Linked DNA regions of Rattus norvegicus. The protein of the gene in region 1 interacts with the protein of each later gene in a pairwise test. Links are inferred from orthologs where the notes say so. Each region holds a gene or a part of one and is shown on either strand. Other genes may lie near its edges.

What was found.
Region 2: the proteins of Cnksr1 (region 1) and Cyth3 interact in binary tests that used the Homo sapiens proteins (3 or more experiments, as listed by UniProt). The two-hybrid records come from large-scale screens. The link is inferred for Rattus norvegicus from reciprocal best matches to the Homo sapiens genes CNKSR1 and CYTH3.
Region 3: the proteins of Cnksr1 (region 1) and Cyth4 interact in binary tests that used the Homo sapiens proteins (3 or more experiments, as listed by UniProt). The two-hybrid records come from large-scale screens. The link is inferred for Rattus norvegicus from reciprocal best matches to the Homo sapiens genes CNKSR1 and CYTH4.

The regions. Positions count from the first base shown.
Region 1 is NC_086023.1:151,738,255-151,744,647, reverse strand, and holds the start of Cnksr1 (connector enhancer of kinase suppressor of ras 1), read left to right. Parts: upstream 1-2,598; 5' UTR 2,599-2,603; coding exon 2,604-2,847; intron 2,848-3,092; exon of another isoform or gene 3,093-3,894; coding exon of another isoform or gene 3,895-3,898; intron 3,899-5,235; coding exon 5,236-5,393; intron 5,394-5,501; coding exon 5,502-5,683; intron 5,684-6,348; coding exon 6,349-6,393. UniProt on the Homo sapiens protein: May function as an adapter protein or regulator of Ras signaling pathways.
Region 2 is NC_086030.1:16,043,410-16,049,794, forward strand, and holds the start of Cyth3 (cytohesin-3), read right to left. Parts: upstream 4,020-6,385; 5' UTR 3,899-4,019; coding exon 3,865-3,898; intron 1-3,864. UniProt on the Homo sapiens protein: Promotes guanine-nucleotide exchange on ARF1 and ARF6. Promotes the activation of ARF factors through replacement of GDP with GTP. Plays a role in the epithelial polarization.
Region 3 is NC_086025.1:112,029,904-112,036,410, forward strand, and holds the start of Cyth4 (cytohesin-4), read left to right. Parts: upstream 1-2,878; 5' UTR 2,879-2,938; coding exon 2,939-2,957; intron 2,958-6,507. UniProt on the Homo sapiens protein: Promotes guanine-nucleotide exchange on ARF1 and ARF5. Promotes the activation of ARF factors through replacement of GDP with GTP.

The DNA.
Region 1 (6,393 bases):
CCCCAACCCCTAACTTTATTTTTTTTTTTTAAGATTTATTTATCTATTCTATATAAGTACACTGTCGCTGTCTTCAGACACACCAGAAGAGGGCATCGGATCCCGTTACAGATGGTTGTGAGCCACCATGTGGTTGCTGGGATTTGAACTCAGGACCTCTGGAAGAGCAGTCAGTGCTCTTAACCACTGAGCCGTCTCTCCAGCCCAGCTTTAATTTTTCTAATGCCATTTATTAATAAGCACCTCAGCATATCACATCTGTGTCTTGGGTTTTTTTCATTTTTCTTTTTAAAGAGAGCATTTAAACATTTTTATGTGCATGTTTGCCTGCATGAATGTGTGTGTGCCATTATCATGACTGGTTTACCTCAGAGGCCAGAAGGGGTCATTGAATCCCTGGAACTACAGTCAAAGACAGCTGAGTATCCAAGTAGGTGCTAGGAACTGAGCTCAGGTCCTCCGGAAAAGCAGCCAGGGCTCTTAACACTGAGCTGTCTCTGCAGCCCTTGTGCGTTCCACCATACCTGGCCAGCATTCTTTGAGAATAAATATAAATAAAATATATATTATTACATGCTTACATTGAAATTCTTATTGGCGTGCATCACTGGGTTGCTATGTAGTCCTGACTGTCCCGGAGCTCACAATGTAGATCAGACTCTCCTTGAACTCATAGAACCTACCTACCTCTGCCTTCTGAGGGCTGGGATTAAGGTGTGCACTACCACACCTATCCACAGATTTGTGACTTGTTATAATTGTTGGTGTGATTCTAAACATTGGTTTGTGCTTTTTTTTTAAAGATTTATTTATTTTGGGCTGGAGAAATGGCTCAGCCGTTAAAGGCTAGGCTCACAACCAAAAATATAAGATGTATTTATTTTTATGTATGTGAATACACTATCACTGTCATCAGACACACCAGAAGAGGGCATTGGCTCCCACTACAAAGATGGTTGTGAGCCACCATGTGGTGGCTGGGAATTGAACTCAGGACCTCTGGAAGAGCAGTCAGTGCTCTTAACCACTGAGCCATCTCTCCAGCCTGGTTTTATGCTTTTTTTAAGAAAAGATTTGTGAGTATGGGTATTTGCCTGGGTTTTGTACCATATTCATGCAGTTCATGAGGAGACCAGAAGAGGGCGTCAGATCCCCTGGAACTGGAGTTACAAGACAGTTGTGAATCAACATGTGGGCCCTAGGAATTGAACCTGGTTCTCTGCCTGTTTTTAACTGTTGGCCATCTCTCCAGCCCTAATTGCTGGCTCTGTGTTACAAACTGTTTTTGGAAACTGAGGCACGAAAATCACTGGAACCCATGAGTTGTAGAGCACTGTGAGCAACATAGAATTAAAAGCAGCTTAAAATTTGTAGCAAGAAAGCAAAGTGCGGGCTGGAGAGATGGCTCAGTGGTTAAGAGCACCGACTGCTCTTCCAGAGGTTCAATTCCCAGCAACCACATGGTGGCTCACAACCATCTGTAATGGGATCTGATGCCCTCTTCTGGTGTGTCTGAAGACAGCTTCAGTGAGTGTACTCACATAGATTAAATAAATAAATAAATAAATAAATAAATAAGTCTTTTTTTAAAAAGATTTATTCATTTACTATATATAAGTACACTGTAGCTGCCTTCAGATACACCAGAAGAGGGCATCGGATCTCTTTACAGATGGTTGTGACCCACCATGTGGTTGCTGGGAATTGAACTCATGACCTCTGGAAGAGCAGTCGGGTTCTCTTAATCGCTGAGCCATCTCTCCAGCCCATAAATAAATCTTTTAAAAAAGAATAAAAGTGCTTTCAGGAGGCAGCTAATATATCTGCAAATGTCTCTCGGGAATGGCTGGTGAGTTTACTCTTCACTTATGGTGACCAATAAAGGCATGTCGTGTCCTAAAATAAGTAATAACTGAATTGATTAAAGTCTTACTTTGAGAAAGGGACTCTTAAGTCTCATCAGATTGTCAAAGGGACAGAGTCTCGAGCTGAGGCTTTTGTTTCCTTAGATTTTAGTTTCTGCTGTTTTCATTTTGTTTTGGAATGGACTCACTCTGTAGTCCAGGCCCTCCCTGAACTCGAGCGATCCACCTGCCTCAGCCTCCAGAATCCTGAGATTACACCATTTACAGTTAGCATTTGCTCAGATATACTCGCAAATGTCCCATAGAGCAAGGACTGTTATGCCCTGGAACTGAGCACTGAAAGTTAGGTCAGCTGTCTGTGCGACAACTCCAAATAGCAATAACGAGATAACACAGGGATCTGGGGGTTGGTGGTTGGGGGCTAATCATGCTCTTTGCTTCTGTGCCAAACATTCACCAAGTACTCTTTTGAGGGAGTGCTGAGAGGTTAGGGTCCTCTCGGCTGGGGTATGGGCCTAGTTGTTTGTTTTTTGTTTTGTTGATATTTGAGACAAGTCTTGATACATAGTTCTGGATAGCCTGGAACTCACTATGTAGACCCGGCTAAGGTCAAACTTGCAGGGATCCTCCTCGGTGAGGCCAGTTTTGAATGAACACCATGCCAGTTCCGGACTGCCTGAGTCACACCTCTTGGCGCCAGCCCAGGAGTCCCAACTGCTTAGCTGCCAAAGTCCTAGGATGGCAGAGGGGCAGGGCAGAAGGAAGACAGGCGGTGGACCAATGACAGTGGCAGCGCCTCACCTGGGTGGCCACGTGGGCCCAGGTATGCAGCGGCTCCGCCCTGCTACTCTGGCCCAGCCCCGCGGGCTCCGGGCTCCGACTAGGAGCGGAAATTCCTGCAGGGTCTGGACGCTGCGGGCGGAGCTCAGTATGGAGCCCGTGGAGACCTGGACCCCCGGGAAGGTGGCAGCTTGGCTGAGAGGTGGGTGAACCGGGAGAGGCGGGGGTGGGGTGGGCTCAAGGGGATTAGTGCGGTGTCCCTTGGACCAAAAAGTAGGGAGGAAAAAGGAGAAAGAACCTGCGGAGTCTATTAGTCAACAGGTATTTATAGAGCGTCTGCCCTGTACCAGCCTACCAGAGTCCCCTGTACAGGCCAGGCGACACTACAGGGCCCAAGACGCAGGAAGGGGTCTTTTCTGGACTTTTGTGTGTTCTAGCGCCCGCCAGGGTGGCAGGAGGCCACCTGGTAATAGGTAAAACAGGGAGGCTCTGGTGGCCCACGCCCCCTTTATCTCCGTCATCTTCTCTGTGCCCCAGGGCCCTGAGAGCTATTAGTAAGCCCATTTTTCAGAAGTAGAAACATACACAGAGCCAGGAAGTGATTTATTCAGTCTTGGAACAGGGCCGGCCCTGGTGTCATTTTCCCAGCCTGAGGTTGGCAGTAAGAGAAACAGAAACCCCAGTCATACTGAAGGGGTGACACAACTCCGCCCTGGGGCTTCCGTCGTCGGGAGTGAGGATCACTCCCCAGGTGACCAAGAGTCACAAACACAGTTAGACTCAGGGCGATCTGTGACTGCAGCAGGGAGTGTGCAGGCTGGGGGTGGGGGGGGACGACGACAGCTGGAGCCTGCCTGGAGGCCTTCTCCGTGTGAGCAGCCCAGCAGAGCCCAGTCAGACTCCCACACTGGGGCCCAGACCAGCACTACCAACTCACCAGGACGGTGACCACAGGTCTGGCTTTCACTGTTCATGAATCGGACAAAATGAGGAGGACGGCAGACCAGCACATTCAACACAGGAAAGAAATTGTCTGAGTAACCCTGGCTCCTGAGCTCCCAATCCAGCGCTCTTAATGGTGCAGGGGAAATCAGGAGGAGCATCTAATGACCACACATTCCCCATGACAGCTCTGGGAGGTTTTCTACCAACGTCTGAACATGCCGCTGCATCTCCGTTGGTTTTCCCAGTTCTGTATCAGGGACGATGATGGGTGGTCCCCACCTTGTAGAAATGACAAAGGAGCCAGATGGGTAAAGTTGGTTTTTGGTTTTTGGGTTGGTTTGTTCGTTTTTTTTTTTTTTTTGTTTTGTTTTTTTTTTTGTTTTTTTTTTTTTTTTGTTTTTTTTTTTTTTGGTTGTTGGGTTTTTTTTTGTTTTTTGTTTTTTTTTTTTTTTTGAGACAGGGTTTCTTTGTGTAGCCCTGGTTGTGAACTCAGGGATCCTCTTGTCTCCTTGTTCCAAGTGTTGGGATTAAAGGCATGCACTACCACACCAACTATGGGTAAAGTTCTCAAAACATTGCCTCCCACAAAGTCAGGTCATGGTAGACAGCCCGGCAGCAATGTGAATGGCTGTTGATGTGTGACTGTGGACTGAGTGGCCCACAGTCATCATCTACAATGCATGGTTAGAAGCAGGCACTTCTGTCGTTCCCATTTTAGGTATTTTATTTACTCTGTGTGTGTGTGTGTGTGTGTGTGTCTGTGTGTGTGTGTGTGTGTGTGTTACCTGCACATATGTATGTGTACCTGGAGAGTGCTCTTGGATGGTTGTGATTTACCCTGTGGGTGCTGGGAACTGAACCTGGGTCCTCTGTAACAACAGTAAAGTGCCCTTAACTACTGAGCCATCTCTCCAGTCCTGTTCCTGTTGTATGCGAAGAAATTTAGGCACAGAACTAGTCTATATATTTTTTTTTTCTTTTTTTCGGAGCTGGGGACCAAACCCAGGGCCTTGCGCTTGCTAGGCAAGCGCTCTACCACTGAGCTAAATCCCCAACCCACTAGTCTATATTTTAAGTGTTAGCCCCCACTCAGGTCTCCGTTACTCCACGTGCTTGGGGTATGGATACTGGGAAAACAAGCTTAGGTCCCTGCCAAGAACAGTATGGATTGTTCTTAACCACGGAAGCATCTCACTAGCTTCTTTTGTTGTTTTTGTTTTTTTAAAGATTTTTTTTTTAATGTGCATCGGTGTTTTACCTGTATATATGTCTGTGTGAGAGTGCCAGGTCCTCTGGAACTGGAGTTACAGACAGTTGTGAGCTGCCATGTGGGTGCTGGGGATTGAACGTGGGTCCTTGGGAAGAGCCACCAGGGCCCTGTTTGTTGTGTTTCGTGGTGACTATATTTCAAGATATTTGGGCATGAATTCGGTAGATGTCAACGTCAGTAGGTTGGGCACACTTGCTAGAGTCACCGCTGTCTATGGTTTTCGACTCAGAAGAATCAGCCGTGAGAAGGGCAGAACACACCCAGGGTCTCAGGGTTGTCATTAGGGACAGGAGGGAGGGGAAGGGCTCTGATATAATAACATCTCAGAATGGTAATGACACCTGTTTCCCCACTCTGACCCCCTTTTTGCCCCAGGCCTTGATGACGTCCTACAGGACTATCCCTTCGAGGACTGGGAGCTGCCTGGAAAGTACCTGCTGCAGCTCTGTCCCCAAAACCTCGAGGCTCTGACCGTGTGGCCTCTGGGCCACCAGGAGCTCATTCTACATGGAGTGGAACAGCTCCGGGCCCTGGTGAGTGAGCATTGCCCACACTGGCTGTAGCATCCACTAGCTTAGGGGTTTGCCCACGTGGGCTGGCTGCCAGGGCAGATGCAGTAACATGCCCCCCTCGTGCTGCAGGGCTCTAAGTTACAGACTGAGAACCTCAAGAGCCTAGCCCAGGGGCTGCTGGACAGGACCCAGGCCTTCCAAAGCTTGGTCCAAGGCCGTCTGAGAGACTGTGCTGAGACACCCGCCGATGTCCTCAATGCTGCTGTAGAGCTGGTACGGGAGGCTCATGCCCTGCTCTCTTGGCTCAACAGGTACTAGGGATGGACGGGTGACTAGTGACTGTTCTTGTCCTTGGTATCCTCTAGGGTCTGGGACAGAAAAGCAGTCCTTGGCTGTTGATCTGATAGGTCAGAGCAGATCTGTGCTGGGCCACTGGGCCACCTTGCTTCCCACCCCACCCTAGAGCTTGTCGTCTTAATGATTTTATCAACGGTTGAGTTTGTTTGCGTGTTTGATGTGTACGTGTGTGCACACACACGCGCATAGGAGTGTGGCAAAGGTCAGAGCATCTTTTGTAAGGATCAGTTCTCATCTTCCACCATGGCATCTCAGACACTGAACCCAGGGACTCAGGTCGACAGCTTTAGAGGCAAGCATTTTTACTAACGAATCATCTCCCTGGTCCCTCAACCAATGGAGAGCAACTGTCTGTCCTGTGTGTCTTACCTCAAATATCACCTCCTCAGGGATGCCTTCCCTGTTAACACTGTTATAGCTCATTTGTAATACCCAGAACAATTGTAGTTAAAGCATTAATAATATCGCTTTCTGTTAATGGCTGTCTCCCTGGTGCCTACAACGGGTACATACAGGACAAATAAGTTCTGTGCCGAGCAGATCCCACCAAAGGTAGGAATTATCTCCAATTCTCAGGGGACAGTTATGTCCAACATCTTAATTGTCCTTCCCCTCCCAGGTACCTCTTCACTCACTTAAATGACTTCTCCGCCTGCCAAGAGAT
Region 2 (6,385 bases), on another chromosome or scaffold:
CCCTGTTAAATTCCTAGAGCTGCACTGTTGGATCTGAGGACTTACTGTGTGATTTTAGAAGATACCCAGCATTTCCCGTAGATATCAGGGTCTAAACAGGGTAAACAGTCATCTCTTTAAGGTTCTAAAGTTGAGGGAAATTGGCCTAGGGAATTGGTTATGCATGTGACAGAAAAACAGGAAACAGTAAGACAACCCAGAGACCAGGAGGAGCCACAAGCTCTCCCTTCTGTTGGGAGGCTAAAGGCAGAAAGCATTTCCAGAGCTTGGAGGTTAGGAAGGACAGGAGCTAGAAAAGCAGAGGCCCTGTGGCTGGGGCAGGATCCTAAATAAAGGAAGAGCAGCTGCAGAGACACGGCCTGGGGCAAGAACATTTACAGGAGAACCTGGTTTCTCCATTCTTTCAGCTTCCAAACTCCTTAGTAGCTCCCACTGGCCAGACCCAGCCTGGCAAGACCATTCACCTCATTCAAGAAGACTCATTAGAGAAGAGTCATTCCAGAGTCTTCAAAATGCACCAGCAGGACAGGGTCCCTCCCCAAGGCAAGGGCAAGAAACAGATCCAAGCTAACAGGGCCCGGAGTACATTAACCCTTCTTGAGACGGTGACTAATCTGTACTGCCGCCAGCGAAGGCTAAAATGGCCTTAACACACTGTTTTCAAACTTGAGGCTTAGCACTTGTCTGACAGGTGAAAGTTGAGATCTCAGCCAAGCTCACCTTCACGCTTACTGAGAACCCTGAAGTTCAGAGCACCTGAGCACAAACTGCCCGCATCCACCCAGATGGGAACGCATCCGGTACAAGGCAGGCCCACCCCCTCAACCTGTCCCAGTGGCACACTCAGAAACCAGGATCTCCTGACGGCGCCGAGCCAAACTAGCCAGTTACTTTCTAAGTAGAGGCCTAGTTCAAGAACTGTTCTAGAAGAACTGAACGGTACCAAGTGCCAAGGCAAGGGAAAACACCTTCACTGCACTCTGCACACAGTCCAAGGAACAATGTGTTCCTGTAATCTCGTACCCCACTCGCCCCTCCTTGTAACCGCCTTCCAGCCATTCATGCGCCATCCTTGCCTTATCGAGCACTGCAAAGAACAAATAACGAAAGCCTGGACAAGAAGTTCAGTTATAAAAACGACCATCCCTGAAGTCCTTTCTGCCTGACCAACGCACTAACCATAAAGAAAACCCTGCCAGTCACCTTCCCCTCTGCTCTAACTACTATTCGAATACATTTAGCTTTTTTTTTTTTTAATCTTCTAAGAAAGCTGAAACAGGGCTCCCAGATGCAGATTAAAGGTCTCTCCTGGGGTTGGGGATTTAGCTCAGTGGTAGAGCGCTTGCCTAGCAGGCCGCAAGGCCCTGGGTTCGGTCCCCAACTCTCGGGAAAAAAAAAAAAAAGATGCCAAAGCACCCGTAAGTATCTTACCACAATGTGAGCAGGAAAGATTTTTTTTTGATAAGCTGAATCAATAAAAATTAAAAAGCCGTTTTCTATCACATAGCACACTGTCTGGCATTCCAGCAGGGAAAGAAAAAAAAATCAATAAATCTCTTTGTTGTCAAATGTTCCAGGAAGGTGAATTAAATCACGCTGTATGTTTAAAATATGTGGATCTTTTATAAGCCCAGATTTTTTTTTTTTTGGTCTAAATTTGAAAGCATGTGTTCTTATTCAAAAAACCTGGGAAATATAAGAGAAAATCCATAATGACAGCAGTATTTACATTGTTTAGATCAGAATGTATAAAAGAACTGCTTGTCCTTGGTAACTTTTTAAAACTGCATGTGTGCGCAAGCTTGTTGCTGCTTGCCTGAGGAGGTCAGAAGACAACTTGTGGGCGGCAGGGCCCTCCTCCACCATGTGGCTCCTGGAGAGTGAGCTCCAGCTGTCAATTTGTAATGTCTCCCTGAAGTAACCTTACCTGGTCGCGGTTACTGTGTCTCATTTTTTAACTGTTGGCCATGACAGTGCAGTATCATTGAACTGAACATCTTTTTTTTTTTTTTAATTTTAAGAGTGTTTCTCTGGTACATTAATATATCCAGAGACATTAATGGTCCAGAGATAGCTTTAAGCCTTCCTGCTACTTTAATATTGACCTTCATTATACTTCTCAAATTCCAGGGACTGCTGAAACACATTGGCTTCTAAGTTTCCCCCACTGTATCTGCTTTTACCTTCAAATCTTTCACATGTTGACTCAACAGACTGCAGCACCTGCAAAGCCGTCCCCAATTCAGCTTCCTGGATTCCAATGTCCAATTGCCACTGTCCTGTCTTTTCTAAACTATGTCAAACTGTGATATAGGCGAAAGGCAAGGCATCCACAGGGATCCAGTGCCTCCAGCCCCGCAGCCGGTCTGTAGGAGGGTTTGCAACTGGGCTCTTTCTTTTCACAAACAAAACACCCACTCGGTGCCACTGTGCTACCCCTGGCTTTTACTATGAGAACTGAACTTGGCAAATGCCACGAGGAGTGCCAACTTCCTACCAGCCCAGCCACCCCGTTTCTTTCACAGAGAAGGAAAAAAAAAATCTGAGAAGCTCTGGAATTCTAGAAGGCACCTTGATTAACCACTTCACGGGGAAGTCTTCAATATTGCTGATTCTTACAGGCAGCTGCTCCAGCAGCCTGTAATTAAGACTTTTTTCCCCCCTAAACACTCCCTTATTACATGGGACTCTGATCATTCTGTCAGCAAAAAGGAAGATCGTTACTCAAAGTCCAGACAGCTTCAACTTGGGGTGTTTGGGTAAAAATGATGGGTACATTATTAACCCCTTGCTTTCTCAATCAAAGACCCACTCGACGAACGGGGACTCTTAATGTTTTGGGAAACCAAATTCATGAAATGATACAACAGGAATTTGTAATCCGTTGAGTAATTTGCAACCAGCACATCTGCAGGAGGACAGAATTCAAAGTCAGGCACATAGAGCCTGAGCAACACCGAGAACTGATAACCCACCTCTGGAAGGGTGTCTGCCCCTGAGAAATGATAACCACCTCAGGAAGGGTGTCTGCCACACACACCTGTCCTGGAGTCTTACAGCCTTGTTGGCTGTGGCTCCCGCTTCCCACCCTCGGCTTTAGAGAGATCCCACCTGACCCCTTTAATTTCTTAATTATATTTTCCATTTGGTGGTGTTGTGAACAAACTCAGGGCCATGCTAGACAATTATTCTATCATTCAGCTATTTGCCCCCCTCTTTATTTTTGCACCCCACCCCTTCTCTGTAGCATTTTTTTTTTCTATTTGATAAAAATGCATACTCAGACCTGGACTGGAGCTGCCTGTCCCTCATGTCCTTTAAGCCATTCCCAACGAGTACTTCTGATCTAAAACCCGGAGACGTTGTTATGACTTCCAACCTTCCTCCTCTCCCCCGGACCGATCCAACAGACCCCACCCCCGGGCCCCGAGGCGTCCAAATTGAAAACTTTCCCCTCCCCATCCACGAGCTCCCAAGCTCCAGACACCTGAGGAGAGCTGAAAAGGAGAGGGGCCCGTCCGAAACAGCTGGACTAGGGAGGGCGTGGACGCCCTTGGCAATGAGACGCTGGGAAGGTCGCCCCGCAATGTGCTCCCATCTCGGAAAGGCGACCTGGAGCTGTGCAGCGAAGACCCTGGCCTCGAACCCGCGACCCGCTACCGCGCTGGGCGACGACCCTGCGGTCTCCGACTTGTCCTCTCACCAACGCTGCGAAGCCCGCGTCCCGGCCTTACCCCGAGCACCTCCCCACGGTCGCCACCAACCCACCCGACACCCGGCCCCACATCTCAAGCCAGGGCTCTCAACAGCGCGACCCCCGGCCTCAGGGCCGCCCAGAGAGCCGGCCACACCTCCATCACTCACCGCTGCCGCCCTCACCGCCACCGCCTTCGTCCATCTTGAGGCCACTCCCAGCCAGCCGGCGAGCCCGGAGCCGGCGGGAGCGACTGGGCTGAAAGCCGGGACTAGGAGAAGTGGTCGCGGGGAGAACGGAGGAGCTCCTCAGCGTGCGCGGCCCGGGTCGCGGCCGGGCCTCCACGGAGGGCCGGGCGGAGCCTCGCTGCTCCGGCGCCGTCACGTGACATAAACCACGCCCCCCTCTGTGGGTGTGGGCGGAGACTAGACGCCTAGTGGTCCCGCCCTCCAGACTCCGCCGGGCCTTGCAGTAGCTGCAGTAGCTGCTTAGCCTAGAGACTTGGATCCTGCAGCGCTGCACCCTCCTTCGAACCTGGTGTCTGCCCCTCTAGAGCATCCTGGAGAGGAAGCCGTGTCTATCAGGAGCACGAGGACGCCCCGCTCTACAAAACCAAATGGCTATGTTGCGACTCGCAAGTGCATGGAGTAGGGGAGTGGGAAAAGATCTGGAAGGGAAGGCTGATGATGATTGGCTCAACGAAAAGAACTAACTATAAGTTTTACTGTGACCGCAGCATGCATGGGCGTCCAAACATGACATACACACAGTAATAATTGTGTGAGGAGATAGTTCTGTTGTTAAGAGCACTCTCTGCTCTTGAAGAGAGCCAGAGTTTGTTTCCAGCACTCACAGAACCCTTGTAACTACAGCTCCAAAAAGGATCGGATACTTCTGGCCTCCAAAGACACCTGTACTCATATGAGGGTTATCTGGAACACTCTTCTTGCCTCCAACGACACCAGGCATGCTTGTGGTGCATACATACACGCGGGCAAAACACCTATACACACAAAATAAATTTAAAAGAAAAACTTTTTTGAGACAGGGTTTCTCTGCATAGCCCTCAATATCATGGAACTCTCTGTGTGTACCAGGCTAACCTTCGACTCAGAGGTCTTCCTGCCTCTGACACCCGAATGCTGGAACTAAAAGGATGAGCCAAGGGGTTGGGGATTTAGCTCAGTGGTAGAGCGCTTGCCTAGCAAGCACAAGGCCCTGGGTTCGGTCCTCAGCTCCGAAGGGGAAAAAAAAAAGAAAAGAAAAAGAAAAGGATGACCCAACATGCCCAGCTAAATAATTTTTTTTTCAAATGTTTATTTTAAAAAATAATTTTAAAAATAATAAAAATTGGGTGTGATGCTTTGATGACAGCAAGCAAATCTCTATGAATTCTTCGTGGGCTTGGTCTATATAGTGAGTTCTAGGTTAGCCAGAGATACCTAGTGAGTCCCTGTCTGAAATAATAACAATAATAATAATCGTCATCATCATCGTCTGAAAATGAGCCCACTGTGAAGAAGCCTCTCCCTCTCCCCACCTCCTCCCTTCTTCATCCTCAAGATGTTAGGGTAATTCCAGCCTTTTATCCCTTCCGTGTATAATGAAAATGGAGTCTCTTTTTCCTGCGGATTGGATGCATTTTAAAATTAACAAAGTATCGAGGTTTGTAAATGAATGTAGTCATGACGTTGAACCCTAATCCCAGTCCAGCACAGCTGGGGCCCAGCTCTCAAAAAGCCTGATTACAGAGGTTGGCCGGCCTGGCGTCAGATGCCCTTGGAGTTGAGCTTTAGTCTCTCTTGGGTTGCTGCCAGCTGCCCTGGATTTATGATGCAGTGGGAGCTCTGAATTCAATTTCCCGTGGGCACAGCCCAGGGCTGGGCAGACCGCCTCAGTTCGTCCCTGTTCCAAATCTATGGCTTGCTTCTCTCAGTCCATATGTCTCGTTTCCAGTAACCTCTCCTTAGCATTGCCTGTGTACCCTCCCGAGCCTTTCTGCTCGAATTAAATTGCATTAAAGAGAAGCAAACATTATAAGGGAGGAGATGGTTCGTCTGTAATAAAATTTCCCAGCAACTGTTTCATATTTACAAATTGCCCGTTGAATCAAAGGATGCTTCCTCCATCGTCCATCTGTCAAAGCAGACAGCCTTCACCTTTTGCTCAAGGTTAAAGGATGATTTCAAAGAGTCCAATTTCCTGATAACCTCAAGAATTATAACCCCGGATATTCTGCTGCTTCCTAGACTGCAAGATAGGCTTCTGCAAGCTGATAAGATGTTTAGCTGCTTGTGACAAATCCACAGAGAAATGGACTGAGAGAAGAGATGCAGGTTCAAGTCCTGATGAACAAAACTCTGGCTTCCTGATCCTGTTCCTGGCCATTTTGTTATCTCAAGATAACCGCTTCTGAGAAAAAAACAAACAAACAAACAAACAAAAAAACAGCACTCTTTGAAAATGATAATGTCCCAGGGTGGAGCTTTGAACTCAGGTTCATCAATTATAAATGCTTTTCAATATTAATCCCTGGGCTGGGCTGGCAAGATGGCTCAGAGGGTAGAGGTGCTTGCTGCCGATTTAATAAATTCAATCTCCGTGACCCACAGGTAAAAGGAGAGAATGGACGCTAGCAAGTTGTTTTCTGACCACTCCACATGTGTGCCATAGCACACCCATGCACACATT
Region 3 (6,507 bases), on another chromosome or scaffold:
GGCCCCAAACTAGGTAGCTCTAAGTTCCCCAAGGCTCCGGGGTACAACAGACACTGAAGAAGTGAAACTACAAAGGCCGCAAGAACAGCAGGGGTGGGCACACGTGTGAGAAGCGCTATTTCTGAAGGCTCTACCATCTGGCTTTCCGCTGCAGCCGGAGACTCCAGCTGACAAATATCACTGACAAGACCCCATGTCCAGACAGGTGGCTCGACAGACAACAGCAGTTGGAGGGTGGATCTAGCAACCTCACTCTCTGGGTCCGTGAAATGGGAACCGAGAAGGTTTCAGGACAGAACCTCAGTTTCCAGCATTCTGATCCCATGGTGGTTCTCTGCCTGCCCATGAAAGCTAGCCCTCCCCAGCTCCTCTCTGGTGACACAGAATAGCAATGAGACAGCTGTGGCTTCTATGTGCCCACTCTCTTGCTCTCCTACCCTTTTCTTTTCAGTTTTTGAAATAGGGTGTCATGTAGCCCAGGCTGGCCTCTGACTCACCAACACAGCCAAGAATGACCTTGACTCCTAATCCTCCTGCTATTACCTCCCAAATGCTAGCACTACAGGTATAGACACCGTGCTCATGCCTTCATCTCTGGTATCTATAGGCCCCAGTCCAAACACAGTCCTGACCCTCTGGGATTGGGCCGACCAGCTCCTCCTTTGGACCACCAGCTGTATTGACCACCAGGGCAGGAAGACTCCTGAATTGCTGTAGGCCATCATTGTTTTAGTTGCTGTCTTAGCGTTTGTTTTCCTGTTGTTAGGACAATATACTCTGACAAAAGCAACAGAGTTTCTCTTCTCACAGCTCAAGGGTGGGATCCACCATGAGAGAGGAGTCAGAAGGTTGAGGCAGCCAGTCAAATTCCACCTACAGTCAGGAAGCTGAGGAAGGTGGATGAACACATGCTCAACTCCCTGTCTCTGTTTATACAGTCCCGGAAGCCAGCAGGGAGTGGTGCCACCCACAGTGGGCAGGTCTTCCCTTCCTGATTAACAAAAACCAAGATGACCCTCCACGGTCATGTCCAGAGGTATCTCCCAGGTGGCTCTAGACTCTGTCAAGTTGCGATTTACACTAACCACCCTGATCATCATCCTAGCTCTAGTCCCTTTCATGCCAGGCACTGACTCCTACTTCATAATGTCACTGATCACCACTGTGTCAGATGCGTCCCATATTAGCTAATGGCCAATGACCCTGGGAGGGGTCTCAGGAACCGGGGCAATTCCTAAGAGTGAATTTAGACATAGCAACAGGACCTTTGACCCCAGTTCTCTGTTCCTGCTGTAGCCCCTGGTCCACCCCACTCCCAAGCACCAGTTCCCAGCTTCCTGCTGCCTGTGGAGAATCCTGCTTCTTAATCCTGTGGCCAAACTTGGATGAGAAGCAACAGATGTGGGAGAGACAGCCTGCTCCACTCTGTAAATCAGATTCGTCCAGGCCCCCAGGGCGCCCCCTGCTGTTTATACACAAAACTGCTAGACTCTGAGTCAAAGACACGGGGCTGAGGTCAGACTCCAGGGGAGAAGAGCAGATCCCACTTGTGCATGTGTGTGTGCAAGTGCGTGTGTGTGTGTGTGCGTGTGCACACTCATGCAGGGCCTTGACAAGCTCTCTACCCGTGAGCTAAGTCCCCAGCCTTTTGCTTCTTGTTTCTTATTTTAAGACAAGTTTTCACTAAGCAGTCTGGATGAGACTTACATTTTTAATCCTCCTGCCTCAGTCTCCCAAGAAACCAGGATGACAGGCCTATACCAGCAGGCCAGCAATCTCTGTGTCACTCAAGGAAGGGACTACATGTCTATCTCCCCTTGGTGTATTCATTTATTCATTCATTCATTTGCTCATTCATTAATTCATCCTCACTTGAACACCCCTTTCTCCTCACATTTTACAAGATACTAGGACACAAATGTGACCATGCCCGCACTGGACTTCTAAATAGACTGGAAACAGATCAGTGAGCCAAGATGTGCCCTGAATTCCAAAGAGTAAGCCCTCATCTTACCGACGTTTCTTTGAGCCATCCCCCTTTCCCTCCAAGATCTGAACCGACCTGTCAGAAAAGGCCTGAGAGATGGAGCAGCCAACGGGGGGAGGGGGGGTGTATTAAAGCCTAAAGGAAAAGCTTTTTTTGAGCACCTACTACGTTCCAAGAATCTCACATGTTCTCTCTACATTCCCAAGGTTGAGTGTGCACACTCCCTTCACAGGAAAGCAAAGTGAGGCTCCGTGTAATGTGTGACCAGCCCGAAGTCACATGCACCCGGAGTGGAGGAGCTGAGGGTCAAACATCTGAATCTGGCCACAAAGTCACCTGGAAGAATTAACGGATTTGATGGTGAGTTTTCCAGCAGCCTGGGGAGGGAGAGAAATTAGGCACTTTGTGAGGCATGGGGGGAGGATGGCATTCCTTTGAAGGAAAGCGAAGCCCTGCCCTTCCCTGTATGACTTTGTCTTTTCTCGGGTGAGATTTCACAAGGAAGAGTTCAGAGAGGACCCTTGAAGCTGGAAAACCCTTTGGCTTATATATAAAGAGGTTGCTGGGTCAAGGCCCAAGCCCCCAGAAGAGGTCCATCCTTAGGACCTTCTCTGTGACTGAGCTTGTGGATACCCATAATCTATCTGTCTGTCTTGTCTGTCTGTCTTTACCAGTGGCCTGCCTCAGATCTGCCTTTCTTCTGCTTTCTCACCTTCCAAGAACTCAAATGCCAGGGTCTAAGCTAACTGGTGAAACTCAACTGCCTTTAGGAAGTGCTCACTGCGTCAGGAGCCTGCGCACAGACCCCTGTGGCCTGGGCTGACTTCCTCCCACAGGGTCTGGGCGGGGCAGACAGGAAGGGGCCTTGACTGGTCCTGGTGGCTACCCACCAGAGCAGCCTCTGAGCCAGCAAGACAAGCAGCTGGGCCGCCTTCCCCCGGGGGCTTCAGAATGGATGTATGTCATGCAGGTAAGCAATAGGTCTTAGCCACAGGTCTCAGCCCTTTCCTCCTGCAGAACAGGGACACAATGGCAGCCATGCCTGAAAGACCTGGAAATAAAACTGGTTTTAACTAGTCGCAAACATCAAACTCTGTGTGCAGAGGCAGGCACCAGGCTAGACTCCAGGTCTCAGGGTCTCACAGGGATCTGAGTGGTCACTAACCTTCTGGGCTCTGCTGTAGCTATGGGGTGGATGGTGACAAACGAGATAAAAGATAGATAAGACAGGAGATCAAGGACTAGGAGAGAAGAAATTTAGAGGCCTCAGCATGACACAGCTCAGGAAAGAGAGTTCTTGGGAGTCCCCAGGAAGAGTTTTCAGGAAGAGGGAATGTCGTCTGCAAGGGCCCGGAGGTGGCTGAAAAAAATGACTTTGGATGAAGGTGGATACTATTGGTGGTGACACGTACCTGGCCAGTGTGAGGGACCACAGAGCCTTTTCAGCTCTTAGGGTCTGGTGACCTTTGATGGAGGCTGGGGACACTGACTGAAGGACTAACACGTTCAGTGAGGCCCTGGTGCCAGGGTTCACTCAGTAGCCAGGGTGGTGGGTCTGAAGGACAGAGAAAAGGGAGGCTGTGAAGTTGACACTGGAGGGACAGGGAGCAGAGAGCAGGGCTGTGGGAGGAGCTTTGTCCCTGTGCCCTGAGCCTCAGAGAGTTCTCTTGGAATTGGAGGCTCTGAGGGACAGCAGCTGCTAACTGTCTGGATCCCCAGGTCTCCTAACTGGTTCAGAGTGATACCTTTCCCCAAATGAAACCTAATGCTGAGCAGCCAGGCCCCACCCGCTGACACTGGGCCGTCTCCAGATGCTGGGCCTTGTTCTGAATGCCAGGAACATAGAAACCTATCAGGTTCTCCCTTCATTTCTTCTTTGTTTGTTTGCTTGCTTGTTTGTTTGTTTGTATCTATCTATCTATCTATCTATCTATCTATCTATCTTTCTCTCTTTCTTTCATACCCCGCCCTGGCCGCCCCTTTTTTTTAGATTTTTGGAGAGAGGGTTTCTCCATGTAGCCTTGGCTGTCTTGGAACTAGCTCTGTAGACCAGGCTGGCCTCCACATCACAGAGCTGCCTCTGCCTCCCCAGTGCTGGGATTAAAGGCTTGTCCCACCGTACCTGGCTCCCTCGGGCTCTTTCAACAGCCATTCATTTATGGACGGGACACAGGAGGCTTTGAGGAGACATGATATAAGAAGAGGCTACGTCTCTGGCCACCAAAGATCTCCTTAACATAACCTCTCCACTGTGTCTCTGGGGCTTTTGGGGGCGGGGAGAAAGGGGAGGTGTGTTAAGTTCCACAGAGACCCAGGGACTAGGCTGAGGCTCAAGGCCAACATGACGGCAAAGCGAGACCAGGCAAAGGGTCTCCACAGACCAGTTCATCTTTCTGTTTGTTCTTTATTTATTCATTTTACAAATAGCCCTGTGGTGTGCTTCCCAATGACCAAAGGGGAGCTGGCTGACCAGGGTGCTGAGTGGAGGGACAGAGGACTCTAATCCTTACCTGGCCACACCCACAAATGAGGAGAATGAAGAGAGGGACTGGGGACTTCCTGGAGGAGGCACCTGGGAAGGGAAAGATCTTTCTGTTGCCCAGGTCCCACAGGAGCCCGTGGCGTCCAGGGCTCTCCTCGGATTCATTGTCTGCGGACGACTGTTCCTTCGTCCTCCCAGACGACCTCTGAGAATGTGGGGATCTGCCCTGCGGGTGGCAGGGCTGGGTCTCCTCCACAGCAGGCCTGGGTTCCCATGTGATGGTTATGACTGGGGATGGAGGTAAAGGCTCTCCCAAGCTGCCTCTGGCTCCTGCCATGGACCTGTATTATATACAGTGGAACAGGCTAAGGCCCTTCCCCAGGGCCTGCTGCAAGGCGAGCCCTGAGCACAAGAAAGTCCTGCCTGGTAAAGGCATGAGGGCAAGCAGACTAAAACTAGAGGTCACTGGCAGGGAGAGGAAGTTCCCTCCCCTTCTAGCAAACAGCCCTCAGGAGCCCCCTCCCTGTGTGCCCAGTGGTCCCCCCTTCACTGGGAAAAGGGAAGTGGAGCCAGCTGCCCTGGAAGCTAAGACACAGGCACTAAAAATATGACGGGAAAGAGGAAGGGCAAGAGGGAAGTGGTAAGAGGCTGAGGTAGTGGCTGCCGGGCAGCGGGCCCTGGGCACTCATAGACCTGAGACAGGAGCACAGAAGACAGAGCAGGCTGGGGTCAAGGGTGACCGCTTTTCACACTGTTGTGGCTGTCAGAAGACCCAAGCTTGTGGATTTTACAAGGTTCCAGGGCAGCTGTAGCCTCCAGCCCCAGGTGGGCAGAGCATGAACCCCAGCTCCACCACCACCCAGCTATGTCAGCTGAGAGAGGTCACTTAACCTCTGGGAAGCCCAAGAGTATCTCATAGAGCAGGGAGTTAGAAATCCCCTCTTCAGAGCAGTGGGGGATTGAGAGACAGGATGAGCAGTACACACAGTAGGTCCTTTGTGGAGGAGGAGGTATTGGGAGTACTCAGGGACAGCACACAGAGGGAGGTGGAGCAGCATTGGGAAGCCCATCTTCCACCTTGAGTAAGGCAATCAGATGTCATTGGAGGGCCGGGGGGAAGGATAGACATGGTAGGAAGATTGACAAGACCTGATGATGGCGGTGCCCAAAGGGTAAAGGGAGGTAGTGTCAAGGTGCCTGTGGTTGGGGTACATTCCTAGAGCTCAGTAAGAGGCTGGGTAGAGGGGAATTCTCAGAGTTGTGTAAGGTCCAGGTGCAGCTTGGTAGCCATCTAGGTTTCATGAGAGATGCCACCAGTGGCGGGGCACGCCTTTAGTCCCAGCACTCGGGAGGCAGAGGCAGGTGACACTTGAGGTCAGCCTGATCTACAGATCGAGTTCCAGGACAGCAGAGGGCTACACAGAGAAACCCTGTTGAAAGAGAGAGAGAGAGAGAGAGAAGGAGAGAAGGGAGGAAGGAAAGACAGCACAACAGAAACAACAAAGCATGGTGTCAGCCTCTGGCCTCTACACAGATGAACACACATGCTCATTCATTCTCCAGACACACAGACACAGACAGACAGACAGACAGACAGACAGACAGACAGACAGACACACACACACACACACACACACACACACACACACACACACACACACACCACACACACCCCTGGCTCTCTCGGGCAAAGCCTTGTGTCAGTAACCACGCTGAAATCCCATACTGCTCCTTCCCAGTTGTGTGACCTGGGATATGTCACCTCACCTTTCTGAGTCCCTGAGTCTACCCCATCACGAAGACTAAGTGAACAGGGTCCCTTGGGTGTCCAAGAGCTTGGACTTAAATGAGACTTGCATCCCACTCCTCTCTGCCCCACTTGGAACAGGATCTCTACCCCCTGCAGGGAAAGTCCCACTGAGGCAACAGGCCTATACTCCCGCTTAAGGAGCCCCACACCCCAGCTGCATGTGCAATGGGAAGGGGCACTGTGTGTCCTGGAGGGACCATCCAAGCAGGGGACCTTCTCTGCATCACC